5 linked regions of the Rattus norvegicus genome follow. The protein of the gene in region 4 binds, or shares a complex with, the protein of the main gene of each other region. Links are inferred from orthologs where the notes say so. Each region holds a gene or a part of one and is shown on either strand. Other genes may lie near its edges. The genes, in order: Mbip, Dr1, Kat14, Sgf29 and Yeats2.

Evidence for each region.
Region 1: Sgf29 (region 4) and Mbip share a complex: the UniProt entries of both Homo sapiens proteins name them as parts of the ADA2A-containing complex. The link is inferred for Rattus norvegicus from reciprocal best matches to the Homo sapiens genes SGF29 and MBIP.
Region 2: Sgf29 (region 4) and Dr1 share a complex: the UniProt entries of both Homo sapiens proteins name them as parts of the ADA2A-containing complex. The link is inferred for Rattus norvegicus from reciprocal best matches to the Homo sapiens genes SGF29 and DR1.
Region 3: Sgf29 (region 4) and Kat14 share a complex: the UniProt entries of both Homo sapiens proteins name them as parts of the ADA2A-containing complex. The link is inferred for Rattus norvegicus from reciprocal best matches to the Homo sapiens genes SGF29 and KAT14.
Region 5: Sgf29 (region 4) and Yeats2 share a complex: the UniProt entries of both Homo sapiens proteins name them as parts of the ADA2A-containing complex. The link is inferred for Rattus norvegicus from reciprocal best matches to the Homo sapiens genes SGF29 and YEATS2.

What each region holds. Positions count from the first base shown.
Region 1 is NC_086024.1:79,556,096-79,562,686, reverse strand, and holds the start of Mbip (MAP3K12-binding inhibitory protein 1), read left to right. Parts: upstream 1-2,212; 5' UTR 2,213-2,295; coding exon 2,296-2,424; intron 2,425-5,721; coding exon 5,722-5,841; intron 5,842-6,591. UniProt on the Homo sapiens protein: Inhibits the MAP3K12 activity to induce the activation of the JNK/SAPK pathway. Component of the ATAC complex, a complex with histone acetyltransferase activity on histones H3 and H4.
Region 2 is NC_086032.1:1,609,957-1,616,601, reverse strand, and holds the start of Dr1 (protein Dr1), read left to right. Parts: upstream 1-2,045; 5' UTR 2,046-2,666; coding exon 2,667-2,886; intron 2,887-6,645. UniProt on the Homo sapiens protein: The association of the DR1/DRAP1 heterodimer with TBP results in a functional repression of both activated and basal transcription of class II genes.
Region 3 is NC_086021.1:152,220,664-152,226,715, forward strand, and holds part of Kat14 (cysteine-rich protein 2-binding protein), read left to right. Parts: intron 1-640; coding exon 641-1,057; intron 1,058-1,145; coding exon 1,146-1,708; intron 1,709-6,052. UniProt on the Homo sapiens protein: Component of the ATAC complex, a complex with histone acetyltransferase activity on histones H3 and H4. May function as a scaffold for the ATAC complex to promote ATAC complex stability. Has also weak histone acetyltransferase activity toward histone H4.
Region 4 is NC_086019.1:190,691,308-190,697,359, reverse strand, and holds part of Sgf29 (SAGA-associated factor 29), read right to left. Parts: intron 5,910-6,052; 5' UTR 5,888-5,909; coding exon 5,813-5,887; intron 3,708-5,812; coding exon 3,632-3,707; intron 2,693-3,631; coding exon 2,620-2,692; intron 1-2,619. UniProt on the Homo sapiens protein: Chromatin reader component of some histone acetyltransferase (HAT) SAGA-type complexes like the TFTC-HAT, ATAC or STAGA complexes.
Region 5 is NC_086029.1:94,314,052-94,320,103, reverse strand, and holds part of Yeats2 (YEATS domain-containing protein 2), read left to right. Parts: intron 1-347; coding exon 348-445; intron 446-1,718; coding exon 1,719-1,811; intron 1,812-4,627; coding exon 4,628-4,873; intron 4,874-6,052. UniProt on the Homo sapiens protein: Chromatin reader component of the ATAC complex, a complex with histone acetyltransferase activity on histones H3 and H4. YEATS2 specifically recognizes and binds histone H3 crotonylated at 'Lys-27' (H3K27cr).

The sequences.
Region 1 (6,591 bases), on a different chromosome or scaffold from region 4:
GCTTTCTACTTAAAATAGACAGTTTTATTATAAGAGAAGAAAATAAGAAAAATGTCACTGGGCATCAGAAAGGATTAGAAGATGCCATTAGACAGAACACGCAGTGCGTATTCTAAACATTATTTAAGTAAGCAATTATAAAATATAAGAGTGGGTCTGAACTTGGAATAAGAGAATTATTAGGCCGTTGAGAGATAAATCAAATGACCAGTTATTCTTATATTAGGGGTTCAAGAAATCAAGTAAGCAGCTGGCTATGGTGGCACACGCCTTAGATCCCAGCACTTGGGGGGCAGAGATAGGTGGATCTCTGAGTTTGAGGTCAGTGTGGCTCCAGGAGTTCCAGGAGAATCTCGGCTAGATACAGAAACCCTGTCTCGAAAAACAAAGACAATAGGACAACAACAAGATATCAAGTAAGATTTGGAATTTGCAGCTGGAGAAAAAACTCAGTGGTTAAGAATGCAACTGTTTGTTCTTGAAGAGGGCCAGAGTTTGACTTCAGGCACCAACGCTGGGCAGCTCACATCCCATGCCCCCTCTGGCTTCTTTGGGCAACCATGCATGAGAAGAAGCAAACATGCATGCTCGCGCACGCGCGCACACACACACACACACACACACACACACACACACACACACACCCCAAAAATAAAAATTGTGAAATGAAATGCTTAGATTTCAAAATCAGTCCTGACAAAGGAAAGGACGAGAAACACCGTAATCATTCTTGAATGTGTGGTAAAAGTCCTTTATTGAGTAAAAACATCTGATTTTCAGTACTTGGTACAGAACAAGGACTCTTAGGTTCCACATTACAATTGTCACCCATTAACAAGAGAATCAGAGACAAAGCGTGCTAACATTGAAATGAATTGTGAATTTCTATTACAGATATGAGTGACTTGAATGAGTGGGTGCTTGATTTGAGGTTTAATCTGGTGAAGATTGTATTGCCAAGCCTAAGTTTACATTTTACTGCTAACAAGGAAACAGACAAGCTTTCTCAAGATCCTGTTAAGCCCGATAATACCAGAAGTCTCTGGCTATAAGTGAATATGAGGCTCCTTAGACAGGTAAAAGGAGTTCTTTCATTTTTACTGTCCTTATCCCAGTGTTACTTAATTCCTTATTTCTTCCTTCGTTCAGTCTGCTCTCAAACTACATAGAATACCCAGTAACTTCATACTTCTACTTCCAGTAGGCTAAATGCGTTAACTATCACGAAGAAGAGTTCTAAATCTTTTGTTTGTTTGTTTGCTTGTTTGCTTGTTTTTTGAGACTGGGTTTCTCTGTGTAACCCTTGCTGTCTTGGAACTCACTTTGTAGACCAGGCTGGCTTCAAATTCAGGGATTTACCTGCCTCTGCCTCCCTAGTGCTTTGGTACTGAAGGCCTGAGCCACTGCCACCAGGCAAGTTTTAATTTTCGTTTTAAGTTTCGTCCTTTACCTCTTAAACTTGTTTTAAAATTTTAAGAGACCTCTTCATTATAAAATTATAACTTTTCAGTAAAATAAAGCTATCTAATAATATCCGATGAGTGTTGATCCAGTTTATATCTTAACGTGAGTGTGGTTACATGGAATAAGTTGGTTTATATTTTTATAAACAATTTTAGGCACCAATTTCCAGTTATTTCACCGAGAAACTGTTGCATGTCAGAACTTTGACATAACTCTGTTTTGCAGATGTAGTTATCAATGTCGTTCTATGGTAGGGAAAAGAGGCATAATGTAGCCCTTTCGTGGTTTTTTTGTTTGTTTGTTTGTTTGTTTTTGTTTTTTTTAATTCTTCGTAACAACAATCTTGTAGAGATGAAAATGTTCTGTCCAGTTACGATCATCCTGGGTATAGTTTTCAGTAATTAGAAAATTGTGAGCACTGCTCCACACTGACCCGCATTTTTTTTCCAAGACAACTCCACCCTGCCATGTTAGCAGTTTAAATTTTAATAGTGGGACCCAAATTCTAACACTTAACAGTAAGGCTCTGCCAGCATTCACGGGGAGCATCTAAGAGCTAAGTGAGTTTCTAAGGCAAAGCCGTCTACTGAAAACACCACCAGATAGTAGGTCCTGCTTAGCTCTCAACAGCACTCACTCATTCCCTCCGAGCGCGGATATCCTTGCTCTTGACTGGTCTTTGTGCACGTCTGTCACACACAGAGGGTGGGGCCTACCCTCGGGTCTAAATGAGACGCTGTAGTTTTACGTCATCTCGGTGAGACGAAATCCGCGAGGGAGGGGTCGGGGTGAGCACTCTTCGCAGTGGTTGGGGGCTGCTGTGAAGGTGTCATGGCTGCTACTGCGGAGCATAGTTCCTCGAGCAGCTGCGAGAAGAACCTAGAGCGAAGCTCCAGCCCCCTCCTCACCCGCGAGGTCCTCTGCGAAGTCTTTCGCTCCTTGCACACCCTGACAGGACAGGTAAGTGGAGGTGCGGCGGAGGTGGGGTGGGGTGGGGTGGGATGGGGTAGGGTGGGGAGCACCCTGTCCTATCCCCTTAGTTCTCTCTGAGGAGGGGGCGCGGAGCCCCCTGGCACGGTGTGTGCCGCTGGTGTGCCAAGGCCGGGCTGCCGAGACCCGGAGGAGCCCGGACCCAGATGCCTGGGACCCTGAGATGCCAGCGGCACACTAGCTGACCGAGCGTGAGTACCAAGGTCTAGAGAAAAGCGGGGTCGTGGCGCCGAACGCTTGCAGAAAATTGATACCCAAAAGATGAAGGTTAAGGAGGCTCCTGACGCTTCCTTTCGCCTCCAGTGTATTTAGAGAAATTCACTGGTTAATATGGCCTGAAACTTTTTCTAGCGCCATCTCCACTCATTCGGGGTGACTGACTGGGTTTTATTTTTTTTTTTATTTTTTCTCCCACCATTTATTGCATCTCTTACTCTTTTTACGGGGAGAGATGTATAAGGATTTCCACAATTTCATTTGTAGTATGCCTAAATTTTACTGTGAATAGCTGGATGAGTTATGTGCGGCCACTTCTAACTACATTACTGCTGTTGTGTAACTTAGCTAATTGCTCTTTACAGAAATGTCACAGTGAAACTGAATTTTAAAAACTAGGTTGCACTTTACTAGATAGTCATTCATAGTGTAAATGAGGCAATTTTTAAATAAGGAACAAAAGTACGTTTGCTTGCTTTTAGAAGTTTTGCGTCAAACATGTTTCCTGGTTTGTCTGGGGGCTGGTATAGTGCATGAAATGGACACAGCACACATATATGTCAAGGGCAGTGAGAATAGGGCATTTACCTGATTTGTGAGAATTATTTTTGAAAATCTTAGTAAGTTTATTTTGACTGGCTGAGTACTTGAGTTGTACATTCTGTTTGGTGTTATAAGGCAATTATTACTGGACTTTTAAAAGTTAAAAAATTTAAACTCTGCTTAATAAGCAATTATGAAAAAATTAATTACAGTCTTTCCTTATTAATAATATTTCAGTAGTAACATAACAGATCTTTAAATAGTTTAAAAGTTAGAGAACTTTTTGGCATGGATTTGGAACTTGTTCATTCATATACTAATGTAAAGATGAGAAAAATATTCTTGAATATTATGCTTAGAAGTTGCAAAATAATTTACATTGATAAATTATTTGAATATCTAAATTTTGCATACCAAATTTTTCAAAATTATATAAATTTATTTCAAAGGTTCAAATGGAAAAATGATTAAACTTAACTTACACCACCTGCCAAAAATGTTTAGAGAAAATGTTTTTTAACAGTAAAGAGACCTTTATACATGTGTCAAATATGATTTATTATTTATTTTAGTAATAGCATGTATTTTTAGATGCATGATTAATGATGAAAGCCATCTATGCTTAAAAAGTTGCCCCTGTGGAATGTGTCTTTTGCAACAAATTAAAAGGATTTTTAAGATATAAATTGTATTATGCCTAAGTTTATCTTAAGTATTGAATTACTAGCTCTTTTTGATCTAAAATGTAAAACTGAATTGTTAAAAAGTATTTTTTCTCCAAATGCAAAATATACTAATACTAACCTTTTTCTTCTCTCTCATTGGCCCAAATTACAAAGCTAAAGATTTTCTGTTAGTTTAAAGTAATGTGTTTCTACTGAACATACATAATTGAATAGACATTGTTAATAGTATATTAATAGAAAATCTTGAATTCCTAGTTACTGTCCCAAGAGTTATGGGGTAAAAATTCATAGACTCCACATGTTACTAGGGAATTTGCTGAATGTTTTGGATATATTTGGGGGTCATTTTTAAGTTAATTTGTTACATTATTGTTTGGTTTCCATAAAAGACCAAGTATCTTGAGTTGCCTTTGAAAGCTTCTATAATCCTTCCAAATTGACATGAAAATATGATCTAAATATTAAGATTTCTTTCCTATAATTATTTTCTCTAGAGAAGGTGATACTTTGCTTTGCTTTAAGACTTGCCTGTTTATTCCCCAAACATAAATTTGCCTTGGTCAACTATAGATCCCCTGACTGTAAATGCATGCTGATGGAGTACCTTTATACACAATAATAAATTCAGTTATCTTATTAATTAACCTTACTGTCAAATCTTAATTTAGTATAAGTTTGTCTTTGTCAGTATAGCCTGTGTAAAATTTTGTATTTCTTTATGTTTGCCAAATGTAGACTCAGATGCCTCTGGTCTCAGGCAGTAGGTCTCTATCCATTACTTATACAGTAGAGTGCTTAACAGAGGAACCTGAGATCTCTTTGGTTCCATGGACAGCGATTCATGTCTTGGTTTTTTATTCTTACAGCTCATTAAATTATATTTGAGCTCATGAAACATCTTTACTTTGTGGAAAATATGACTAAATTTTAATAAATTATTCTTACAAAATAAGTATAATTAACTTGCTTCCACTTGGATTGTGTCCAGAAAAGTTTATAGAGATTCCCTCATATTCAGTCAAATTATTACAGGTGGAAGCTTCTCCCTCTAAAATTTGACAGATTTTGATATTAATTTTATATTCAGTTCTTGGTAGTTTTCTAGATATACATTTGCCCTAATAAATCACTAGTTGATGAGAAATTTTCATGGTATGAGATATATCTTTCTAGAAAATCCTTAGGAAACATTGGGCATCCACTTTTGGCTTTGTTAACACTGCTGTGGGAAAGTACTTGTTTTTTTAACCTCAATAATTTCATAACTGATAATTAGATTTTTATTTGTAATTACTGTCATCTATCCCTATGTGTGAATAATCTTTAGTTTTAAATTTTTAATTGGTTAAATTTGAAAACAATAAGAGTGATTGAGAAGACATCAGGGTAATGACTTATTTTAGGCATGTGTTTGTGTGATACGTAACAAAGAGAATACTTTCTGGAAGGCAGTAGTTGATCTCCGTCTGTTGAATGCCTAGGATTCTGATTAGGGCAGACCTATTTTTGGATACCTTCCAAAGGTATTTAAGATATCAAAGTATCAAAAGAGGCTATGGCTTCTCAAAGATGGCCCTATTATACAGACGTAGAAACCAAATTAAAATAATAAGACATGTTTTTATCTTTTTTATTTTCAAAGCTGTGCCTTTTAGCTTTTTAAAATAGCAACTACAGAAAGCATTTTATTATGTCATTGAAACTTAGTAACTTGAGCAAAATAGGCATGCATTACTCTATAGAAATCTTATTTTTGTGATAATCCCAGATATATAGCTTAATCGTGTAATTTTTGTGATGTTGCTACTTTGCCTCTTTGAAGCTTAACCTCAGAGATGATGTGGTGAAAATTACAATCGATTGGAACAGGCTCCAGAGCCTCTCAACATCCCAGCCTGCACTGCTCCTTACTGCACTTGAACAACACGTTTTGTATTTACAGGTAAATTTCATATTAGAATGTTTACTGGATATTCAAAATAGAAATTAACTGTAGTTTAATTAGCTGGAGTATTTTTCAGTTCTACCTCAACATTCTGTTAACAATAACTGTTATTAGTAAAAGGTTGCAGAAATCCATATTGAGTCTAGGTCTGTTAATTTCACTAGTGATTGGGATAGTTATGAGAATATAGCCCAACAGACCGATGTGGGTTTGAGAGTGAATAAATGCAATTCTATTCAATTCTGGGCTTTGCTGAAAATTCAATACAGTTCATCTATGGTGGGTTATAATTAAGCAATAAGACGCGGCAGGTGTGAGTCATGCTATGATAATGATTCCATGCCTTGGGTGAGTTGGGAGGCTCATGGAGTGCTTTCAGTGGTTCAAGAAGTGGCATTATCCCAGCATGACACATCCTGGAGTGTCTATTGCAATTAAACAGTTTCAGCGTAGTTTTTAAAAAGAAAGTAATTTCTGTGACATTAATGTTTCATCTTAGTGAGTAGCCAGTCACTATTTCATCTTAATAATTTGAAATAATTTATCCTTTATTGGAAGTCAATATTGAATTATTTATCATGGTATTGTTACACTTTTAATATTTCAGCTTGAGAAACGAACAGTATTATAGCCTTGCTGCTGTTGTTGAACATCTCTGCAAGTGTAATTGATGTGAGTTAGAGCTTTTCTCTCATCAGGACAAGCAGAACTGTTTTTCCTGGTCACTTTACTGTGTCGAAGATGTTA
Region 2 (6,645 bases), on a different chromosome or scaffold from region 4:
TTTGACAAAGTGATATCACCTCTTCCCTTTTGTTTATGTCCTTACAGTTTTCGACTGGACTGTGTTGTCCAGAGTCCATCTTTGAGCTGTCACTCCTCTTTCCTTACCCTCCCCAGTGCTGGCCTTGCAGCCGTGTGGTGCGCCACCATTTCTCACTCCTACTGGTTTGATTTTTTCCAGCGATCTTTCTCAGTACCGTTTTCTCATGGGACTTCATTTACAATAGACCTTTAAATGTGTAAAGTCTTTACTGACATTCCCTTTATATCTTCATACTTCTTTTCCATCCTTAAAGTCTTAGGAACTTTCAAAGTTAAAAATACTGTATTTCTGGTTGTGAGCCTAGCCTTTAACGGCAGAGTGAACACTCTTCTGGTGTATCTTAAGATGGCTACAGTGTACTCATATAAATAAATCTTTTTAAAAATAACTGTATTTCAAACCTGGAGTTGAGCTCATCTGTGGTGACCCAGGCCTTTAATCCCAGCACTCGGGAGGCAGAGGCAGGCGGGTCTCTGAGTTTGTGGCCAGCCTGGTCTACAGAGTAAGTTCCAGGACAGCCAGGACTACACAGAGAAACCCTGATTCAAAAAACAAAAATAAAATACAACAACGAGGATCGGGGTTGCAGATATAAACAATTTAGACAGTGTCTCAGGAGTACTCACAAGCACTCTGTAGATAAGATTCTCATATGTGAAAGTTTCCATATAATAACAGCACAAAATGCCAAGCCACCCAGGTAACAGTCACCTAGGCCTTAACTTTACATCTAGACCTTAATATTTTACCTAAGTCTTAACACATCTCAACCAAAATTTACTTATTTCGAAGAAGAAATTTACTCCTTATAATCAAAGATTAAACTTAGTAGCACTGATAGTGAAGAATGTATGGTTCCCAGGAAGCATCTTGAAGAAAATGTTGAAGATAAAAATTACTCAAAGGCTGGTGTTCTAGGTCAGTGCTGAAGCTATGTCTAGTGAGGCAGGTAGGAGGGGACAATGATAGTCTCCTGGAAACCAAACATCTTAAATTATTGCCAACAGCCCAGCTGCCAATCTGTCTACAAAAAATTACGATAAACTAAACTGTACACGTTGGCTTAAGTGCCTTAGCCCTTTCAAAAGTTACAACGTCCCACTATTTATTAATGGGACCGTATGTGAAGTTTTTTGGTTTTGCCTGTGTTTGTGTTTGGAGACAGGTTTCTTCAGTGTTGCCCTGGCTGTCCTGGAACTTGACTTGCTTGCCTGAGCGTCTCATCTAAAGTGCTGGGATTAAAGCCATCTCCTGGCTGAGCTTTTTTTTTTTAATAATATAATTTCCCTGATGAATGTGGCACTAGTTATTAATAATCACCCGGAAAGAAGCAAGTATCAGACTCGCTTGAGATAAACCAATTTTTTTTTTTTTTTTTTTGGTCTTCTCTCCAAAAGCAAGTGTGCAGAGGGCCATAGCTCATGGTAGGCCAAACTCACAGCTTTGGATCAGACTACTAATTTCTGATTTAGCCGTTTGTGCTACGGAGGGTAGCCACTTATTTGAAAGCTTCGTTTGTTTTTTTTTTTTTTTTTTTTGTCATAAATGAGCACAGGGAGTTCCGATCTGAACGCTGTTAAGCAGTTACAAAGGCCTTTTTCCCCACACGCCGGGATATGCTCCTCTCACTCAGTGCCCTAATTCCGACAGCTAAGGACGTAGGAAAAGGAAGTTCTTCGGTAAAGACCAGGGCTGCTCCGCCACGTGGCCCTCCGATGGCCCTTCGGCCCACACATCCCTCCACAGAGCAGGCGAGCTCCCCTAGGGCCTGATTGAGGAAACGCGGGGACGCAGAGCGCGGGCAGCGACGGGCGGAAGCTGCGGGCTGCCAGCACCGGCGGTTCCCGCCCGCCCGGGCGGGGTGAAGGGCGGGGCGAGCACTCGGAAATCCGTCGAGGAGGGCGGGTGGGACCCCGGGAGTGAGACTTCCGGTGGCGCAAAGCGTGTCGGGATCAGCTTGCGGCAAACCTCCTTCCCCGGCCCGTAGAAAGACCACCGTTAGCGCCGCTTCTGCTCCCACAGCCTGCTCTCGGCCAAACGCTCGGTCGCGGCGACTGCCGCTGCGGCTCCCGCTGTTTTCGGCCCTGTCCACTTGGTTCCCAGGCAGCCAGCGTGCGTTCAGCTGCGGCTTCGGCAGACATGTTGTGAGGCGGCGGCGCGGGTGCCTGAAGGATGGTTTGGCCGAGGCGGCTGCAACCGCTGCTAGTGGCGGTGGCCGCGGGGGCTCCGGCTCTGTAGAGCCGACCCTGCTGTGGTGCGTCCGCCCGGTACTGCGGCCGGGCGGGTACTCCTCGGTCTTGCGTGCGCCCCCGAGCCGTTTAGGTTCGGTTAGGCGACAGCGCCAGTCCGTTTGAGGCGACACGCAAGGTGGTTCTTGAGCCCTGGGAGTGGTGTCCCCAGAGCGAGCCCTCAGCCCCCTGACCTCTCCTTCATATCCGCACTAAAATCTCTCACACAGTGGGTGTTCCCTGCCCTCGAGCCCGCTCCTTCCTGGTTTCTGCTGCACTCTGAGCCTCCCGGACCCCGACATCTCTCTCCAGGGACAGCCTGTTGAGAAATCTTCGTGGAGTGGTGGACTAGAGGGAGGACTTTAAAAGTTAGGGCTTGAAAGACAGGAAGGCACGATGGCTTCCTCGTCTGGCAACGACGATGATCTCACTATCCCGAGAGCTGCTATAAATAAGATGATCAAAGAGACTCTCCCTAATGTCAGGGTGGCCAACGATGCCCGAGAGCTCGTAGTGAACTGCTGCACTGAATTCATTCACCTTATATCTTCCGAAGCCAACGAGATTTGTAACAAGTCAGAAAAGAAGACAATCTCACCAGAGCATGTCATCCAAGGTAAGCAATTTGTGTGGGATTTAATTTAAATGAAGGTCCAGGCTAATAGAGTCACTCCTAGTGTCACGGAGCCTTCATTCCACTTCACTAGTAAGTGCAGTTACCTTAAAATACCTATGTAGCATTCTTCGGACATTTTCTTCATCCAGCTAATGCAAGTAAGAAGTACAAACATTAGGGTCAGCAAACATCCACAACATTTAACCAGTACAGTTTCCGATCAGGTCTTTAAGCAACAAGAATTGACTGCCTACAGCTAAACTTGGATAGTAACAACTGAGAAAGGAACCTCAAAGTTCTCTCTTGGGAAGTTAAATTTTAGAATTTCAAGCACGAGTCGAGTCAGAGAGTATATCTCTTCCCCACCTGTGCTGAGGAAAAGATTCATTTTGAACACAGGGGTAGAAAAAGTTCTTTGGCTGTGAACGGAGGTCAGTGGTATATCATCTACCTAGCATGCACAAGGGCCCTAGGTCCGAGTTTAAAAAAAAAAGTTATCAACATGAGTATGTTCATTGTTGTAAAGTTAATTTCTTTCCAAAAAGTATAATTTTTGCTTTACAAAACGCTGAGGTGGTGGAACAGTTATCACCAGGTAACCGAGTGCCACATTTTTTCCTTTTTGACTTCCTCCAACTATTGATTGTTCTTTGAAAATTATTTGTAAAGGGTGGCTGGGGCAGGGCGGGGACGACAGTACTCGGGCTTGAACCTAGGGCCTGACACATGCTAGTCAGCATTCTGTTGCTGAGCTGCCCAGCCTGTCCTCTGTCCTGCTGCTCCAATTTGGATGTGTCTATGCGTTTAAGCTTTTATGGAAAAACGCTTCTAAAGGTTCCCACAGTTTCTTTCTTACGCTGGAAAGGATTTGGAGTTGGGATTTTGTTTTGATGATTACAGGGAAAGGAGACGAAAGTTGCTTTTGGCAAATTTTGGGAAATACTTTCTGTGGCTTTTCATGAACTCTTATGAGAAAGTTGCATTCAGTTTGGTAAATCACTTCTATTATAAATCTATTGAAAATGAGGACAACTTCTTGATTACTTTTAAGGTTAAAAGGAACAAATTTAATCATATTAGGCAGGTAGTTCGTTGCCATTTTATACATTTAAAAATTTTACTTTCCTGTTGATAGAGAACATATCTGATCATATGGAACATAACCATTTTGCAGTCAGTATTGACAAGAAGGTCACGTGTTTAATTTTTGAGCCTTTATCCTGTGCTGATGGTAGATTTAAAGCACACCTTGCTGTGATGAGGGGGGTCTCAAGGCTGAGTACTTAGCATGGCAGAGGTCAATCCCAGTAGGTAGTAAGAGTCGTGATGATTGATAGATGTGTGTGTGTGTATAATCATATCACATGCACATATACTCTGCCATTTCAGCACATAGCAGATAACTAAGAAAAAAGCAATGTTTTTACTTTAGGTTAGGAAAGGCAAGATGCTAACAGGTTCACACTCTTGTTACCTAGCCTGGCCTTAAACTTAGAGCCTCTTCGTGCAGTCTCTTGGTCCTGGGATCATGGACATGTAACTACCATTCCTGCTGCTTATTTGATTCTTTGGTGTGTACATGCTGAATGAACTTGGGGCCTTGTGTGTGCTGGGCAAGCAATGTCCTGCAGAGCTATCTTTCCAGCTGACATACTTGATTCTTAAAACTAGTATTTTTTTTTCCTACTTGTTTGGTTTGCTGAGTGGTAAGAAAAATGGAAACCAAGTGTTTTGGGGTTTTTTGGTCTTTTTTTTTTTTTTTTTAGTTTTTTTTTTAGTTTTTAAGTCTCTTAGAAGATATTTAACAAGTAGCTAACATTTCCTTTGACTTTTTGTGAAGGAATGGAAGAACCACCTTTTGTCAAGCATCAACTTTTTAATGAAACTGCAGATTTCTGTAGGACCTGCCTAAACACTTGTTTGTACCACAGAAGTGGTGATTGTTCCAAAAATCTAATAACACAATCTGTCTTGTGGGAGGCTCATTCTTTTCTAGGGTATATTTAGAGTTCCGATCGACATGATGATTGAAGTGCAGCTGTAGAAAGCCGTGTACTGGGGCTGGGGATTTAGCTCAGTGGTAGAGCGCTTACCTAGGAAGCGCAAGGCCCTGGGTTCGGTCCCCAGCTCCGAAAAAAAGAACCAAAAAAAAAAAAAAAAAAAAGAAAGCCGTGTACTAAAGTTCAGCTTTGGAGTATGCTAACCAGTTTAATGCATGACTTAGAAAGTTACACTGAAAGGCTGACTCTTCTCCTTTGTGTGATGACGGCAATCCACCAGTGTTAGGATCCACAAATGTACCCTCTTCCTGTAATGTTGCCATTACGTATATAGGAGTTATCCATACCTTTGCTTTAGTGTAGCTTCACTGCCATTTCATACTATGTAATCAATCACCTTAAGTTTTGTTTTGAGAGTCTTTCTCCCCCCCACCCGATTTGGTTGATTTTTTTTGAGATAAGATTTCTCTGTGTAGTCCTGGCTGTCCTGGAACTCCCATTTCCTCAAGACCAGGATGGCCTTGAACTCAGAGACCAGCCTGTCTGTCTCCCAAGTGCTGGGATTAAAGGGACATGCCACCACCACTGCCCAGTTAAAGAAAAAAAGGTTCGTGTTTGTTTCTTTTGCTTGAAAGAGAGTCTCATAGTATAGCCCTGGCTGTCCTGGAACTCAGAGATCTGCCTTTCTCTATCTGCCCTGCCCCTGCCCCTGCCCTGCCCCGCCCCTGCCCCTGAGGGCTGGAATTAAAGGTATATGCCACCACACCTAGTTTATTATTTTTCAGGGCCCTATACATGTTAGGCAAGTGCTTTCTATCTGTTTACTACACCCACAGTCCGAGGCTTTTGTTTTTCTCCTACAACTCCACACTTACTGATGTATTTAGCACTGTGGTGAGAATATAGAAATAAACGATTCTCAGTTCTTAAGTGTTTCCTAGTTTTCTGGGAGTACTGTACCATGGACGACACGATTGCCAGGGGTCTTCATGCCAAGCCGGTGAGGCAGGAATCTACTTTGACCTGCGTTGTCCTGCTGCATTTTAAGTGAAAGATAATCATATTCTACCTCCCACAAATAAGAAACTACAGAAACTAGAGGTTGCTAATTTGCGTGTTGTTTTTAATCCAAAATGTGTTTGTTAGGATGATTCCTTACTCAGATTAATTCAGGTGCTTCTAGGGCTGCTGCTTCTTGGAGTAGTGTGCTTTTCTCAGCCATGCTTTTCTGCCGATAGGCTGACAGAGGACAGTGGAGCAGCCCACCTACAAGATAACCGTTTATGCTTGCTGGAGACTTTAGGGCAGGGATTGTAATGCATCCTGGGCACTTCACATCCATGAAGTAGGAACTGGGGCTTTGCACCAGGTGCTTTTTTTTTTTTTTTTTTTTTTTAATTTTTTCTTGTCTTCTGAAGAAGGATGAAAATCTTTTGCCAGAATATTGTTCTTGCAGGGAGGCGATAACTCCCTGGAAAAAGTTGATCTGTGTAATTTAAATGGGGCTATACAGTGCTTTTTTTTTTCTTTTGTGAATCTGAAATGCTTAGACTTCTCCTTTATTGAGATAAGTATATATGAATGACTGCACTTTGGTGTAATGGAGGAGAGAAAACTTAACTATTCTTTCATCCTGTCTCCTGTAATGTAATGAATATGTGTTCCCTGCTTGCCTTTTTAAAATTGGGACAAACTATGTCAGTAACAAGTGAGTTCCAGATAGTTGCCTTTTTGTATTTAAGACGGTGACAGACTTAAT
Region 3 (6,052 bases), on a different chromosome or scaffold from region 4:
CCTACGTCAAGGTGGCTCACAACTACCTGTATCTGGCTCCAGAAAATGTGGTGCCTCTAACTTCAGTTTCTTTCAAAACCTATTTTTAATGATGGTTCTTAAACACTTTAACCTCCCTGTAGCCCACCACCCACCAGAGGTTGTGGGAAAGAAAGGATATGGGGACGTGGAGCTGTTAGAAAGGTTCTTTGAGGGGTTGGGGATTTAGCTCAGTGGTAGAGTGCTTGCCTAGCAAGCGCAAGGCCCTGGGTTCGGTCCCCAGCTCCAAAAAAAAGAAAAGAAAAGAAAAAAAAAAAGAAAGAAAGAAAGAAAGAAAGAAAGAAAGGTTCTTCGGAGCGACTCCTGTCTGTGTTGTCTGGAAATCGGCTGTTCAGTTCATAGGTCAGCAGCTCAGCAGCTCATTCCTTCACGAACCTGCCTTAGCCTTTCACCTGTGTCCACTTCAGCTAAATGTTCCTCACCTGTTTGCCTCAGCAAAACAGCCAACTGACTTTCCAAAGAACCCTTAAGTTTCCACTTCAGGTGCCTTCTCTCACCTGTATTTTAAATGCCCAGAAACACATACATATGCATAAAAATAAAGTGTATTTTTGAAAGGAACAGTTAACATAGAAATTAGATATTTATTCTTTCCTGGCAGCTTCAAAACCAACACTGGATCCCATCATTACCGTTGAAGGACTCAGAAAACGAGCAAGCCGGAATCCTGTGGAATCAGCCATGGAATTGAAAGAGAAGCGGTCTCGAACACAGGAAGCTAAAGACATCAGAAGAGCACAGAAAGAAGCAGCCGGCCTCCTTGACAGAAGCACCTCTTCTACCCCTGTCAAGTTCATAAGCCGAGGCCGGAGGCCGGATATGATTTTGGAGAAAGGAGAAGTGATTGACTTTTCATCCCTGAGCTCCTCGGACCGTACCCCCCTCACAAGCCCCTCTCCTTCTCCCTCTCTGGATTTCTCTGCCCCAGGGACACCAGCGTCACATTCTGCCACGCCTAGCTTGCTCTCTGAAGCAGACCTCATCCCAGACGTGATGCCACCCCAAGCTCTATTTCATGGTAAGCCTTGCCGTGTTTTCCACTCGGGTGTGAGTTGTGCTCTGCCTTCCTTCTTTCCCGTGTCTTGACAGTACTTTCTGCTTTGCAGATGATGATGAGCTGGAAGGAGATGGAGTCATAGACCCAGGGATGGAGTACATCCCACCCCCAGCTGGGTCAGCTTCTGGGCTGATGGGGAGCAGAAAGAAGGTCAGAGCTGCAGAGCAGATAAAACAGGAAGTCGACAGCGAGGAGGAGAAGCCAGACAGGATGGATGGAGATAGCGAAGACACAGATTCAAACACTTCTTTGCACACTAGAGCTCGAGAAAAGAGGAAGCCACCCCTGGAGAAGGACACGAAGCCCAAGGGGCCCAGGTATACGCCTGTGAGCATCTATGAGGAGAAGCTGCTGCTCAAGAGGCTGGAGGCATGCCCTGGTGCCGTGGCCATGACTCCAGAAGCCCGGAGGCTGAAACGGAAGCTGATCGTCCGGCAAGCAAAAAGGGATCGGGGCTTACCACTGTTTGACTTGGACGAGGTTGTGAACGCAGCACTTCTGTTAGTGGATGGGATTTATGGAGCCAAAGATGGAGGAGCTTCCCGGCTTCCAGCTGGACAAGCTACATACCGGACCACCTGCCAGGACTTCAGGATCCTTGACCGGTACCAGGTGATGTGGTGTGGGGAGGGAGTGGGGCTGGCAGCACCAGGCAGTAGATGCCGTTTCCGTGACATTTGTTATTGTGAGTGATTCGGGGAAAAGAAAGCAAGAAAATCTTCCTGTGCTCTTGTTCCAAAATTGTTCATCATTTAATGCCCCTTCATGTACGTGGGTTTCTTTCTCACTTGGCACTTAAGGACTAGCCTAGTCATTTCTTGTCTGTCTCCTTTGAGAGTGTCTATATGAGGTCTGTTTCATGGTTTTGATTGACAGATTTGTTGAGGACATGTAGTAGCCTAGACCCTATTGAGAGGAGCTGTGGGTGTGTAAGCATCTATGTCCTTAGGCCTCTTCATGAAGAAGTACGGAGTCAGCATTACTCACAGGGTGAGTTCCACCAGTGCTCTGACAACATTAATTTCACTGGGGACTGCTAGGCTGCCCCACCAGCAGCAGTGACCTAGTTTTACTACACTTGACCCTCATCTGCCTTAACCAATCAGATGGCTGTGAAGTGTAACCTTATCTCATTTACGTCTCTTTGATTAGGTTGAACATCTTGTGTTTCCTGTTTGTTTCTCTGTAAATTGGTTTATGAGAATCTTTGACACTTTCCTCTTGTCCTCTCTAGACTCTCTTGGGAATCTTTGTCACATATCTGATTGCCAGTGACATGCCAAGCACCAGGCCTTTTCCTCTGGGTGTGCTTGGAGCTTGTGTGTGGGCCCTTTCTGGAGCTGTCTCCATTTCCTCTTCTGCTTCCTCTATCTTAGGAATCTGTTTTGAATGGCATCCCTCCCTCCTGTGTAAAAGTGCTGATAGTAGGTACCCTGGGCTCTGTACACCACATAGTCCGGGCTGAACCGAGACCCACCTATGATGAAGCAGCTGTGGGAGTGAATGAATGTCTGCGGCTGTGCCCACCCCAGTGAGTTCCTCCACTAAAATGGGCGAGGGCTGGGCTTGGCCTTCAGGTATCCATCACCACAACTGCTCCTCTAGGTTCTGACCTAAGATGTGTTTTTCTCTACTGTTAGAGTTGTATTGTTGATGGCCCTTCCTTGCTCTCTTTGCTCTTGTGTTGTTTATGTAAATGTTAGTGAACTCCGATTTTTATTTATTTCTTCTTGCTGGACTTCTTTCTTTAGCAGTTCCTTACAACATGGTCTCTTTTTTAGAATTATTTATTTTGGGGTTGGGGATTTAGCTCAGTGGTAGAGCGCTTGCTTAGCAAGCGCAAGGCCCTGGGTTCGGTCCCCAGCTCCGGAAAAAAAAAAAAAGAAAAGAAAAAAAATTATTTATTTTATTTATATGAGTACACTGTAGCTGTCTTCAGACACACCAGAAGAGGGCATCAGATTCCATTACAGATGGTTGTGAGCCACCATGTGGTTGCTGGGAATTGAACTCAGGACCTCGGGAAGAGCAGTCGGTGCTCTTAACTGCTGAGCCATCTCTCCAGCCCCAACATGGTCTCTTTTAACATTTATTTATTATTTATTTGTGTGTGTGTGTGTGTGTGTGTGTGTGTGTGTGTGTGTGTGTGTGTGTGTATACCACAGGTCCACTCAAGTCCACGAGTTTAACTAGGGTCCCTGTTTTAGTTTCTTTACCTACTGCTGTGAGAAAACACCCTGACAAAAGTGGCTTAAGGGAGAAAGGGTTTCTCTTGACTCATGGTTCCATGTACAGTCCACCATAGAGACGAAGTTGGAGCATCGAGAGTTGAAGGGAGCTAATCGGATGGAATCTTCTGTCAGGAACAATCAGCAGTGAGTTCATGCTGCTCAGGTCCTTTTCTGTCACCTAGCTAGGTAATGACCCCACCCACAGTGCACAGGTCTTCCCTCTTAGATCACGCCATCCGGTAGGATAACCCCAGCAGGCATTCTGCGGTGCCAGTGTCCCAGGTGCTCCAGATTAAGGCTAGTTGACAGTTAACACTAAGCAGCACAGTTTCTTGCAGGAATGCAAAAAGGGTTACTTACAGGAGCATGGGCACTTGGTGGGCAGCTGTACCACTGGAGGGGAAATCTCTTCATTAATGTTTATAAATCTGGGACAGAGGGCTGGGGGGATGACTCAGTGGTTAAGAGCACTGGCTGCTGCTCTTCCAGAGAGCCTGAGTTCAATTCCCAGCAACTACATGGTGGCTCCCAACCATCTGTAATGAGATCTGATGCCCTCGTCAAGCATGCAGGTGTACATGCACATAGAGCACTGTGACATAAAATAAATGAATAAATCTTTTTTTTTAAAGGGTGTGTGCCACTATATATATTGGCTTGGCCAATAAGTAATTTTAAAACACCTTGGGTAGAGGAGTGACCTCATGAGCACCCTGTGTTAACTAACCATTTACGGTCTATAGCTTAGAGGAGGGGTGTGGCTTCGTGAACCCTTCCCCACCCTGTGTGGACAGTGAGTGAGTTCAGTCTTGTTTAGGTTACCTCAGGTAATCATAGCTGCTGACGGCCCTAGAGGGCACTGGCCATGGCATGTCTGAAGAGTGGCATTCCACAACAGAGCTGTCTGGTATGCTGTGTCGTATTATGTGAGCTTCCTCGATCTGCAGTTTGGTGCTGACACTAATTAGAGTTGTAACTGCTTCACGTGTTTTCTGTCCCCATTCCTTCTGGTATTCCTGTCATTCTTTTCTAGTTTCCCACAACTTTTGGACGTTCTGTTCCACTCATTCTTAGTCTTTGTTTCTCTGCCTTTTGGTTTGGAAATGTTTTATTGCAGATGCTCAAGCTTAGAACGACTCTTCTAAACTCTTTAGAAGGTTATTGATTAGTCCACTGTCAAAGACATTCTTAGTCTCTGTTGCTATTTTGCTCTCTGCATTAATTTACTTCTTCTTTCTTAGGACTTTCCAGCTCTTTCTAACCTACCGTCTGCCCTTTCACGCTTGCCCCTTAGAGCATATAACGTACCAGCTACAACTGTTAAATGTCTTTCCCAGGAATCTCAGAATCCTGCTATGAGTGTGCTTCTGGAGCTTGCTCTGTCTCTCCGAGGGGAGAGCAGAAGCCTGGTCTAGCCATGGTGTCTCAGTGTTCTATAAAGAGGCCCTGCTCTGTCACTTCCATTTTCTTATTCCTGATCAGCTCAGGCAGCTACCCCTACCCATGCTCCCAGGCGTCCGTGCCACTCTCTATACCTCTAATACTCTTCTTGGGATGTGGAATGCTCAGGTCACCTTAGTAGTGCCTTTCCTCTGTCTCAAGAGTCCAGCAGACAGTCACCTACTCAGAGCAGCCCCTGAGAGGGGTGTAATGAGGCCTTTCTGGCCCCTTTGGTGCAGAGCCTGCTCTGTTCTCATTGCACTGTTAGCTTTAGCCAGCTTTTTCTTCATAGGCTTTTCCTCATCCCGCATTAGTATCCGTGGTCTCACCAGGTTTGCACACCTAAAGAAGCACATATAATGCTGTCACACGTTACTTGACTTTGAAGCTGTTTTTTCTTCCCCACTTGGCGATTTAGTAAATGTAAATTAAATAGTTTGAGCCAGGCACTCTTTTAACTGGGCTGTCATGGTGAATCAATGCTAGGTTTCTGTCCTCTGCAGTGGACGTTCTCAAACAGGGGAGGGATGGGGTTGACTCACTGAGCTAAGATCCACCGGCTGAGGATGTCTGTACGTGTGCACACACACACACGTGTGTGTGTGTGTGTGTCTGTGTCTGTGTGTGTGGTGTGTGTGTCTGTGTGTGTGTATGGTGTGTGTCGGTGTGTGTGTGTGGTGTGTGTGTGTGTCTGTATGTGTGTGTGTGGTGTGTGTGTGTGTGTGTGTGGTGTGTGTGTGTGTGTGTGTCTGTGTCTGTGTCTGTGTGTATGGTGTGTGTGTGTGTGGTGTGTGTGTCTGTGTGTGTGTATGGTGTGTGTCGGTGTGTGTGTGTGGTGTGTGTGTGTGTGTGTGATGGAAGGACTTCTGTGTTCCTGGGAATTAAAACCATCCTCTGATAGAGGTAACCTTGCAAGAAGTGCTGACAAGGAAATGCCAGGAGGCAGAAAACTGGATGGAAGGCCAGACACAGGCCCTGAGGCATGAGAAGGACTGGGAACATCTTGATGACATAGCAGTGTGGTCCTAGGAAATGAGACCAGAGTGTAACAGAGTCAAGTCCTGAAAGTTCCCAGCAAGGCACAGATGAGGACTTTGAAATGTATTCTGTACATACAGTGGGAAACCATATAGGAATTGTGAACCAGGGGCCATGAGTTGATGTTTGCTTTTTAAATAGGGTCTTACTGTGTAGCCCTGACTTGCCTAGATCTCACATTGTAGACCAAGCTGGCCTTGAACTTACAGAGATTTGCCTGTTTCTGCCTTCCAAGTGCTAGGATTAA
Region 4 (6,052 bases):
AACTAGAAGTTATGTGAAATGGGATATTCAAAACAGCCACAAAGCATTTCCCCACAAGACATTTGGTGATTACACAAAGGAAAACAGAAACCTGGGAGATCCCACATCAAGCAATGAGACAATAGTATCTTGGGCCTTCTAATAGAAAGTTGTTACTGTGTTACACACACCCGAAGCAGAAGCTCAAACCTGATTCTAGAAGTCAGGAAGCACTAAGTACACCCATAGGAGGGACTACCACAGAATAACTAGCCTATAACCTGCAAAAGGTCAAGTGACAAAGGAATAAGAGACTGAAAACTGTTCCAGATCAAAGAAGACTCGAAACAAGACACTGAGCGATGGAGATCTGCACTAGGACAGGACCTGTCTCATAGTGAAACTTGAGTAAGTTTTCTGGGTCACAGTTTCATATCTGAACTGATGTCCTAATTTTGAGATGATTACAGTTTTAGGATCATGTTCCAATATATATGATATATAATAAATTTTAAAAATGTATCTGATATATAAGAAACAGTATGTTACTGATTACCTAACACCAAGTGGCATGGGTTTGTCTGACCTACCTGGCAAGTACCCTGAATGGTTGGACCTGGTAGCCTCATCTCTTTGGCTTGCTTTTTCTCTTCCAGCTGCTAGGTTGGGAAGGTCTGGTTGGATGTTTATAGGGTGACTATATTATTTAAGAGTCTAAAAACCTGAATTCGGAAAAATATTTCAATGTAGGCCCATGTGTACCTAACTGCCTAAGTGCTGAATGCTAGGTAAGTCATGCCAGACATTCCATACCAAACTCCAGTCTGAGTCTTCACTCTGCTCAGTCAGGGAAGGAAGGGGCGGCTTGCTTTTTACTCTCAAATGAAGACCTGGGGGTGTACTCAATAGTACAGAGCTTGCTTAGTATGCATAAGGTGCTGGGTCCTCTCCCTAGCACTACAAAAGGAAACACACACACACACACACACACACACACACACACACACACACACGCACAAAAACAAAACAAAACAAAAAACAAACAAACAGAAAAAAAAAGCAACCCACATGCAGCACTCTGCCTTATGCAAGCTCCACTAGCCCAGGCAAGTGCTCTTCTGCAGGAGTAGAACCCATCCATCTTCTGTTCTGTGCCCCAACCACGTCAGACCACTCCAACCAAACTAGAAACTCTGACATCCAGATCTTCCTGTCTGCAAACTAGCTCCCTAATGAACCTCAAAAACTGCTGCTCTTGGGCTAGCCTTTGCTCCCTACCTTTCTACCATGTCATCACCTTGGAATTGGTCTCTAACTGGCCTTGAATCCTGCCCCAACCCTTTTTATTGCAGCTTTAGGCTTTATTGGTTCCCAGAGGCCTCTAAAGTGAGGCTTGTGGTACATCAGGCTCTTGTGAACTACCCTTCTTCCTAAGCCACGTAGGGCATCCTTATGGCCCTCAAAATGCAGGAATCACTAAAAACATCAGGCTAACACTTATTAGGAAGGCTTAAAATTAATTTTCTGGCTACAACCTGCTCTAAAAAATAGAAAGCCTGGGGGTTGGAGATTTAGCTCAGTGGTAGAGCGCTTGCCTAGAAAGCCCTGGGTTCGGTCCCCAGCTCCAAAAAAAAAAAAAAAGAAAGCCTGGCAGTGGTGGTGCAGGCCTTTAATCCAGCCTGGTCTACAGAGTGATTCCAGGATTGCCAGGTTTACACAGAGAAACCCTGTCTTAAAAAAAAAAAAAAAAAAAAAAAAAAAGGTAAAGAGAATTGGCTACATATAATGCCACATTAACTGTAACTTGTCAGAATTCTGTGAGATGTGTTCATTTAAAATAAGTGTGCAGTAGAGAGGCCCTATTCAGCACCTGGCAGAGTTCTGTGGACTTTCTACCTTAGAAGCCAGGCTTCCAAGTTGTATGGGTTTTGACAGATTTTATAATTCCTTGACAGTAAATTGGGACAACACTATAAACTACAAAAAGGAGTGCTTTGAGGATCAAGTGACATAAATAAATATATGAAGTATTTAGACCAGGCATGGTGGTGCATATCTTCAATCCCAGTACTAGGGAGGCAAAAGGAGGCTAATCTCTGTAAGTTGGAGGCCAGCCTGATCTACATGGTTAGTTCCAGGCCAAGGCTACATGGTATGACTCAGTATAAAAAAATAAAATAAACTGAAGTATTTGGAATGGTACCGGAGCACAGCAGTGTCACCTAGTGGTCCTTGTTTCCATTACAGGCTGCAATAGTCTGTACCTCATAGGAGGGGAGGGCCGGAACAGTTTGTAGAATCTGGCATTCTCGCCATAATCCCACTGTATGTTCACAGTCTGATAGAGTTGTTAACCAGTTTGTAATGACAAGGCAACAGAGATTCAACTGACTGACTGTCAGGTCACATGACTAGGAAGTTGTGGGGACAGGACAAGCTTTACTGCCATCTATAAAACAATAAGCTAAAGGGGAAGGCTGGGTAATGAAACAAGAGCTTGGGAAGGTTCAAGCAATGGAAAAGGCTGAGTGGGACCCTCTTCACAGACAGAAGGTAAGTTGAGGCCATGGTCCCCGAGCATATGTGGCCCAGCCCGGGCAACAGGGACGGAGAGAGCAGCACCCCGTGAGTGACACTTACTTGCACTCCGCCTCCGCATCGGCCTTGGCGGTTGTGTAGAGCCCTCGGAGCTTTGTCCGGTAATAAGGAGAAACTGTAAAACAAGGACAAGGAGCATGAACAAGAGGAGGTGGCAGTATGTGCCTTGATTCCAGGACACCAGGGTCAGCTTGAAGAGGCCAGGGCCTGGATTCCAGGCATCTGGAAGTTTAAACACGCTTCCAGGTTAGTAAGATGGCTTAGTATGGACAGAACTTGCCTCACTTGCAAGTACCAGGAACCAGCTCTATAGCTCAAGTAAAAAAAAAAAGTCAGGCATGCCAGATGCATTTGTTATTAAAATCACAGTAGATATCTATAACTTTAAAAGTTGAAGGCCAGTCTGGCATACAATAAGATCTAGGACAGCCAGGGCTACATAGTGTACTGTGTCTACAAACAAACAAATAACGAAAAAAGGTGAATGGTGTCTGAGGAACAAACACAAGGTTGGCCTTTGCACATATACCCATATGCATACATATGCGTATATACAACCACCCCAACATACATCTAAAAGGGGCTTCCTGTTCGACATGATCACATTTCCATATGGTAAACACACCATCATCATTCTTGAAAAGCGCGTTCTAACCTGTTACCTGTCCATACATGTCATGGACATGTCATGACAGTTACTGAGAAGAAGTATGCATTGTCCAAAGCTAATTTAACTTAGAGAGCAGCAGGCTCAGGGCGATGGCCTGTCTTGGGGCATATGCACAGGCCATAGAGGAGCTCTGCTGTAAGGTAAGTTCTCTGCCATACAAGACTGCCTTTCTAGTCCTGAGCTGAGGGACTCTAGGTCCTTTGGTGCAGAGCAGTCTGTCATCAGTCCCTGTCATTTCAGGTCATTCAGCCAAAGGAATAATGACCCTAAAGAACAACTTTGGAATATGCAATACAGCAAAAACTGCTTTTGAGACACAGTAAGTTCCTGTTCCTAGTTGCAGCTCCTTCCCACCTCCTTTCTCTCCTGCCCTGAATTACTTACTCTTGTTCTCTGTCTGCATTCGCTCGTGGGTTTTCTGAATGTTCACCAAGTTGTGCTCACTTCTCGATCGCTCTTCCTGTAAGGAGGAGGTCAAGAGGCCATGAGGTAGACCTTTTACACTAACAAAAGCCCCCTGTTTACATTAAGGTTCCCTCTGGGTTACACTGTCCTGAGGGATCTGTCCCTATCTCCACAGTCCTATATGCAAGAGTCCTACCTCCCTAAGCATCCTCCACACCCCTGCTATCCTCGTATCCCATCCCATGCTCCCAAGGCTCTGGCAATATCTTTTTACTTCTCTAGTTTTGTCCTTTCTAGAATTGCCACACAGTTAGAATGAAGTATATGTAACCTACTGTGATCTTTCACTTAGTAAAAAAGTGCCAGTATTTCATCACTCTTATTTTTCAGGGTACACTTACTACAAAGGGTATTATCTGAAAAGGACTTTCTGGGACTTGCTCCCTATTGGCTCATTAGACCATGTGATCCAGCAGAACAACCAGTGTGTAAGGTATGATACATGCCTTTCAGTCTAGCACCTGGGAGGGAGAAGCAGATAGGTCTACAAATTCTAGGCCAGCCTGGTCTACATAGCAAGTTCCAGGCTAGCCAGGCCTACATAGAGAGACACTGTCTCAAAACAAAGCGCGCTTGTGCGCATGTGCATACACACACACACACACACACACACACACACACACACACACACATATTTCAATGAGCAAATGCTTGGCAAATCCTTGGTAATAATGAAGAAAACAGAGCAGTGACATGCCCAACATGTCACAGTATGCTACAGGCACAAACATACACCACTCTTTATTTGTGAATGAAAAAAAGCTATTTTAAAATATAGGAAATGGAGAGATGGCTTAACAGTTAAGTGCACTGGCTGCCATTTCAGAGGACAAAGGTTCTGGATCTGATTATCTCTTCTGTCCGCTGGAGGCACCAGGTATGCACACAGAGAACATGTAGGCACTCACCCATAATCATAAAATAAAAATAAGTCTGAAAAAAAAAAAAAGATTAGTGCACTAAGCAGATCCAATTCCCTGGTAGTCACGCAGGACAAATTACAGGTGCACGTGATTATCCATTTACTACTGGAATGCGGCACTGTACATTTTTGGGTATGAAGCACACCAAGCCCATTGGTATACATGCACAACATGAGTAGCAGAGTAAACAGAACAGAAAAAGGCTTTGCGAAGAAGAAACAGAAGATGGCCTATGCATTGTGAAACAAGACATGCTGTAGCCAGTCTTTTGCTACTTTGTGGGTCCTTTTTTCACTCTTTCTCCACCCCTTTTCTTCCACCCTTTCAACCCTCTAACACTAGGTAGGAGAAAAAAAAGATAGAGGGGAGAGGAAAGAGATCACTGAATAAAGTCAGGAGTCAAAAGGGAGCAATGTTATCATTAACACTAGCTTCTGCTGATTAGGGGTTGTTGAGTTCCTTAAGGCAAGTTAGATCTTCAAAGTCGGGATATCTTATTGTTTCTTCTCTGTGTTCCACTGCTTAAGGGAGGCAAACTGCCCTGCCTCTTGGGGCTCTAGCATTTACATGACTTCTGAAAAGTCCCCAAATTACAAATGTCACACAACTACAGAAACTATCTGCAGCTGGCAAAACCACAGTCCTGCGAGAGCACAAGGGCAGCTTTATTTCCAACTGAACTGCACTTCAAATATAATATATGTGGACATGGGCCAGGGTAATTAATTTAGGCAGCACAGGGTTAAGATGCAAGTCTGGGTTGTCTAAATCCCATTCTAAAGTGCTTTGCCATTTGACTAGATGCTGGAAGTTAACTCTAAATCTTCATATTGTGTCACCTAGTAAGAGCATCCATGCTTACTTGGAGTTTGGAAATAGAGGAAGGAGAGGAGTGATAGCTAATATGTGTGGTCTAAAACTAATCATGGTTGCAGTTGTACAACTAATTACTAAAAATCACTAAATGTTTTCAATAGGTCTGTCTTTCAAACAACTGTTAAACAAAAAGAACCCTGAAATCTTGTACTTGACAGAAAACCCAACAGGAATGGCAGTCAGACACAAGAATCCCTCCTTCCACCGCCTTCACAGCTTCTTTGCTCATGTACTTGAGGTCTCTTTGAACATAACCCCACCTCCATACAGCCTAGTACCACAGCCCAAACTCTGCTCTTACCTGGGTTTGCTTGATCAGCTGATGGAGCTCTGTGAGAAGCTCTGCAATTCGAGAGTCAGCAGACACAAGGGCCATGGGATAGGCCTGTGAAGGGCATCTGGTCAGAGAGGGAAGAAGGATGGGAAAGCTGTCATTGCCTGCTATGGGTTGAACTGTATAGATGACATGTAAAGTCCTAATCCTTGACACATGTGAATGACCTCTCTGGAAATAGAGCCTTTGCAGATGCAAGCTAGCTTA
Region 5 (6,052 bases), on a different chromosome or scaffold from region 4:
ACACACACATATGCACACATGCACGCACACACGCGCGCACACACGAACAACAAAAGATATTTTTATTAGCTATATTTATAACCTGTCTATCTATCACACGATATTTTCTTATTAACCTCCTTTTTTCTTCCCCATCTGACAGTTTCATGCAGATGAAAAACATTTTTCTTTCTGAGCCATTTAAGGATAGATTATATAGTTTTATATTTCTGTGTACTTGTTTAGGCTATTGTGTCATGAACCCAAAGCAGTTTCTGGTTTTGTGGGGGGAGGCAGTGGTTTCTTTGGCTGCTGATTTAAATCACTAGGCACTGATTAATTTGATATGTTTTGTGTTCTTTCTATAGCTCGAGATGCAGCTGTGCAGAAAATTGAGACGATTATTAAGGAGCAGTTTGCCCTTGAAATGAAGAATAAGGAACATGAGATTGATGTCATTGACCAGGTATAGTAACGATAAATTGAAAACACTAAGTTTGTGGAGGGGAAAGTATATTATTTGATGAGATTTATTTTTAAAAAATTTCCAAAAAAAAAAAAAAAACCCAAAACAGAAACAAAACCTTAAGATCTGACTCAGGGTAAAGGTATATCTGAGTGAGAGAATGCTTGGACCCAGTGAGCAACCCCATCTCCTCCTCTGGCCAAAAATGAAAGAAAGGAAAAAAACAGAAACAAAATTTTCCAATGTTGGGCATGGTGGCACACATCTTTAATCTCGGCATTCCAGGTGGACCTCTATGAGTTCTAAGACATCGTGGTCTTTATAATGAATTTCAGGCAGGTGAGGCTACAGAATGAGACTCTGTCTCAAAACAAAAACAAAAAAACTATCCTGCTGAGGGATGGGTACACAGCTGTAATCTCAGTACTTGGAGGTAGGGACAGGAGAACCAGACATTTAAGGTCATCCTCACTAATTGTATTTGAAGCCAGCCTGGGACACATGAGTCTTTGTCTCAAATACCCAGAATAAGTAAAAGTTGGAGAAAAGATAAAAAGTCCTACTTGAGCTTCCATCTCCGAAGGTAATCCTTTTTGGTATCGTTCTCAGTATATTACAGTTATTTCTTAACTAATAAATATGCTCACACTTACTTTTTTTTTGTTTCTTCGTTTTATTTGTAGGTTTTTTTTTAAGGATTTGTTTATTATGTATCATGTCCTTCTGTCTGTATGTAGGCCAGAAGAGGTCACCAGATCACTTTATAGATGGTTGTGAGCCACCATGTGATTACTAGGAATTGAAATCGGGACCCTGGAAGAGTGGCCATCTCTCCAGCCCCTGCTTTTGTTCTTTTGAGACAAGTTTTCTCTCTTGGCTGTTGTGTGAGTCCTGGAACTCAGTCTGTAGACATAGTTGGTCTCAAACTTCAGAGATCCACCTGCCTCTGCCTCTCCAAGTGCTGGGGTCAAAGGCTTATGCCACTAGACCTGGGGTATTTGGGATTTTTAAGACTTTACTGATCAGGGAAGCACACACACTGTCCCCGTCCCCAGTCTGCTCTGGGGTAGAAGTATAAACTCCAGGACTTTGCTTATATACATGAAGTACATCTCCAGCCTGAATCTCTGCCAGTTTAATTAGATGAGGAGTTTTTATTTATTGAAGCAATTCAAGAAGCTGAGTTTTTGCTTTTGTTGTTTGTGTTTGTTCTGTGGATTTTAAGTCGTTATTTGCCGATTTAAACAACATTTAAACTCTCACTTGTTTTTAGCGGCTGATTGAAGCCAGAAGGATGATGGATAAGCTCCGAGCCTGCATTGTAGCAAACTATTATGCATCGGCTGGTCTCCTGAAGGTTTCTGAGGTAAGCGTTCCTCATGGTCCAGGCTATTCTCAGCCACCATTTTCCTTGTCTTGGGGGTAATCAGGACCGTGTGGATTCCCTACCATTGAGACCTTTCTGATATTGGCCTTTAGCATTTAATAAGCCCGAGCACCTTTCTGAGGAACATAGATCACCAGGCAATTTGTTTAACATGGTCCTATCCTTTCAGTACTAATTGCTAGTATAATACTGGCAGGGAAACCTCACTGCAACTCCTCCTGGGTCTTCCTCTTTTGCTTTGCCTTACCCAGCGTGCCTTGCTCTTTCAAAGGCTACTTCTTAATGATAGTTTTCAGTATAAGAGAAAGACAAACATGTTTACATACCATGTAGATTCATCACTTTAAAATTCTATTGTTTTATTTCCTCTAAAGCATTTAAATTAAGGTCTTAGACATCATAACATTTCGGCGCTCACTATAAAACTTTTTTACTCCATTTTCTCTTTCTCCTGGCAGCCGTGTATTAACCCCAGAGTGCCAGTGGAGGACACACAGGCACAGTACCTGTAAAAACACAAAATCAGAGACTATAAAATCAAGCAAATGATCAGTAAGATAAAACAAACAGAAAACCAGATAAAGCACTATCCTGTGGGTGTCCTTCCAGGGTTTCTCTGCATCTAAGGTTCCCTTAAGGAATTAGTCCTGGGTGAGGGTTGCCCTCCGTCTTGCAGTAGGACTTTGTTTTAAATCGATTGCGTCTACAAAGACCCCAGTTTCCCCCTCCTGTTCTCTGTGTGCTCGTGCCTGTAATCAACCCCCGGCTTGCACATGTAATAGGCATATAATGTACAATTCCGTAACGATGACAGCCCTTAGGCAAGTTCTGAATATTCTGGCTGGACGTGAATTGTGGAAGCTGTGTTTTCCACAGTTCTGGCATCACTGATTGAATAGCTCAGTATTGGTTCAGCACAGTGCACATCATGAGCTGCATTTGCGTGAGATAAAGGAGGCGGTAAGCAGATGCTGACCTTGAAAAACTGGTTAGTGGTTTGCTGATTTACCACTGGGATCTGGGCCGTCTGGTTGTCTAGAAATGCACCAGTTTCAGCCCCTGGTGTTCTGATGAAGACCTACCAAGGGCTGGAGATGGCTCAGTAGTTGGCGTTAGTTGGGTTCAGTTCCCAGTGTCCACATGGTGGCTTGCAACTCTCAGTAACTTTACGTTCCGGGGATCTAGCACCCTCCTCTGTCTCCTGCAGCTGTCAGGTATCCACATGTTGCACATGTGTGCATGCACACAAACCACTCAGACAGATAAAATAAACCCTTAAAGATTAAAAAAAGGGACTGGGGATTTAGCTCAACCTAGGAAGCGCAAGGCCCTGGGTTCGGTCCCCAGCTCCGGAAAAAAAAGAACCAAAAAAAAAAGATTAAAAAAAATTCAAGAAATCTTTGGCCAGGCTTTGTGTTATAAAGCCATGTACTTATTTTAGTTTAGAGAACACACAGTACTGAGAAGCACTGCTACCGAATTAATCAGCTCTTTATCTTATTTTAAAACATTAGTCTCTTCACCCACACCACAGCTTTTGTTTTGATTAATAGCTGTGTAACTCCCTCCCCTCCCCCTCCCTCCCTCCCTCCCTCCCTCTCTCTCTCTCTCTCTCTCTCTCTCTCACTCTCTCCCTCCCCGCCCTGTGTGTGTGTGTGTGTGTGTGTGTGTGTGTGTGTGTGTGTGTGTGTGTGTGTGTGTTGTCATGTGTGCACGAGTCTGAGTTGGGATGAAATCTAGCAGCTGCAATCCTCCTGCCTCTGCCTCCCAAGTACTGAGATTCCGTACAGTAGCGCCGTGCCCAGCCAGTGATACTGGTGGTTTTTTGTTTGTTTTTGTTTTGTTCGTGTGTGTTTGTTGTTTTATTTTTTAAATCGTGTGTTTGTATCTGGGTGTGTCCACATGAGAGCAGGTACCAGTGGCGGCCAGAGGTGTCCTGATTCATTCCCTTGGAGCTAGAGTTGAAGTTGTGAGCACATGACATGAATGCTAGAGCACCCAACTGAACAACTGAACTTAGGCCCCTGAGCTAGCCTGAAGGAATGTTCTTCGTTGCTGATTTTAAAGCTTCTACTTTTGTTGTTTTTTAACTCCAGTGTGGGTTTCATTTTTTTATACTGTGTACTTTCATTGTTTGTTTTGAGGCTATATATTCCAGGCTGACCTGGGACTGAAGATGAATTTACTTACTTAGATTCCAAAGACCTTGGGATTGTAGGTGTGCGTGAGCCACAGTGCCTGTTCTATGTCCTTTTAACATCAAATCTTGCTGGGTGTGGTGGACTTACCCTGGGCTCCTGGCCTTCTTGCCTCTACCTTCTGGATGCCAGGATTACCGGCATGCTCCCAAGCTGCATTTGTGTGGTACTACAGAAAGCCTTATTTTACTTTTTGAATGTAGTCCAGGGTGGTCCAGAACTTCAGATTCTCCTGCCTCAGTTTCCTCAGTTTCCTGAGTGATGGATTCATGTGTGTGTGCCCCTACTGTGCCTGGCTCATTTTTGACTTTGAGTGTTAGAACTTTTGCACAATTACTTGTCACTCTAGTTTCTGTTTTGTTGACACAGGCTAAGTATAAGAATTTATGGGTACAGAGAGATTTTGTTCTTTCCTTTTTCTTTCATTTATTTTTGGTTTGAGCCTAGCCTTTACTAGCTGAGCCGTCTCTCCATCAGGATATGGAGAGAGATTTGAAAGGTTGTTAACATGATCTTAACGTAAGTAGAAGTTTTCAGGAGTTAGGTTTTTATCAGTGTTTGTTGGTTTAATTAAGTTTGCTTCTTTCCTTTTTCTAGGGATTAAAGACATTTGATCCCATGGCTTTTAACCACCCTGCTATCAAGAAATTTTTGGAATCACCTTCTAGGTCATCGTCTCCTACTAATCAGAGATCAGAAACACCATCTGCCAATCACTCTGAAAGTGACTCTTTATCTCAGCACAATGACTTCCTATCTGACAAAGACAATAACAGCAACGTGGATGTGGAGGAAAGGCTCTCAAGCATCGGGGAGCAGAGACTGAGCCGGAACACGGGAAGGGTACAGGCTCCAGGGGGAACAGACCTGCTGTTTATTACATGTGGGCGGGACAGAAGTACTTTGATTTTTACAGCAGAGAAAAGGGCCTTTGGTTCTTTGAGATAGGGTCTCAGTCTGGGGCTTACCAGACTAGCCTATAACTTGAGGTATCTCTTGGTGTGTGTGTGTGTGTGTGTGTGTGTGTGCGCGCGCGCGTGTGTGTGCACACTTTGGTGGCATTCTTACTTTAGAGCAAAGCACTCTAGAGTGCAGCATAGCTCTTGGACGTCATTCGTGAAGTTGGGAAAGAACCTTAAGGATTAGAGTCAGATGATTATGGCTGAATGTCTAAGTAGTGACTCCTGTAATTTGTCATACAAAATCCAAAATACACAATTCTTTTCTTGACATGGTTTTGCTATGAGGCCCTGGCCAGCCAGGCACTGATTATGTGGACCAGGCTGGTCTGGAACTGTAGTGATCGCCCTACCTCTGCTTCCCGAGGGCTGGAATCACTGCGCCCAGCTATGATAGTGTGAGTGCCTAAATTGAAGCTACACTGTGCCTGGTTTATTTGGTGTTTTATTTATCTATAGAGTCATAGTCAAGTTAGACCAGTGATGGCATAGCCACAGCTTCAGTTATAAAAGGGAACTTCCAAGTTGCTTTCCATACATTTAGACATCAATGTTTGATTTCATTTTTATAAAAACAAATTGTTATTTTTCATTACAAATTCACTTGTCTTTTGATGAAAAAATAAAACAGGAAGGCAAATTAACGCATACTTTGACACCTCATAATCAGGACTCTGAGAATTTAGATTTACTTGTGTTTGGTCAGCATTCTTTCTCTTACCTCTTAAGCTGGGATTGCAGGCCTGTGCCTCATACCTGGAATATTTGGTACTGGAGCCTGAACCCAAGGCTTGGTACAGGCCAGAGAAGTACTCTATCAACTGTTACATCCCTAGACCCACTAATTTGTTGTTGGTAGTGGTGGTGTTTTTTTTGAGACAGTCCTGGAAACACTCTTTGTAGATTAGGAAGTCCTCAGAACTCAAGTGCTGGGATCAAAGGCATGTGCCACCATGCCCAGCTCTTTCTTTACAAAAGGAAAATCTGCTGGAGGAATAGCCCAGTGGTTAAGAGTACAAGTTGCTCTTCCAGAGGACCTGGGTTTGTTTCCCAGCATCCATAT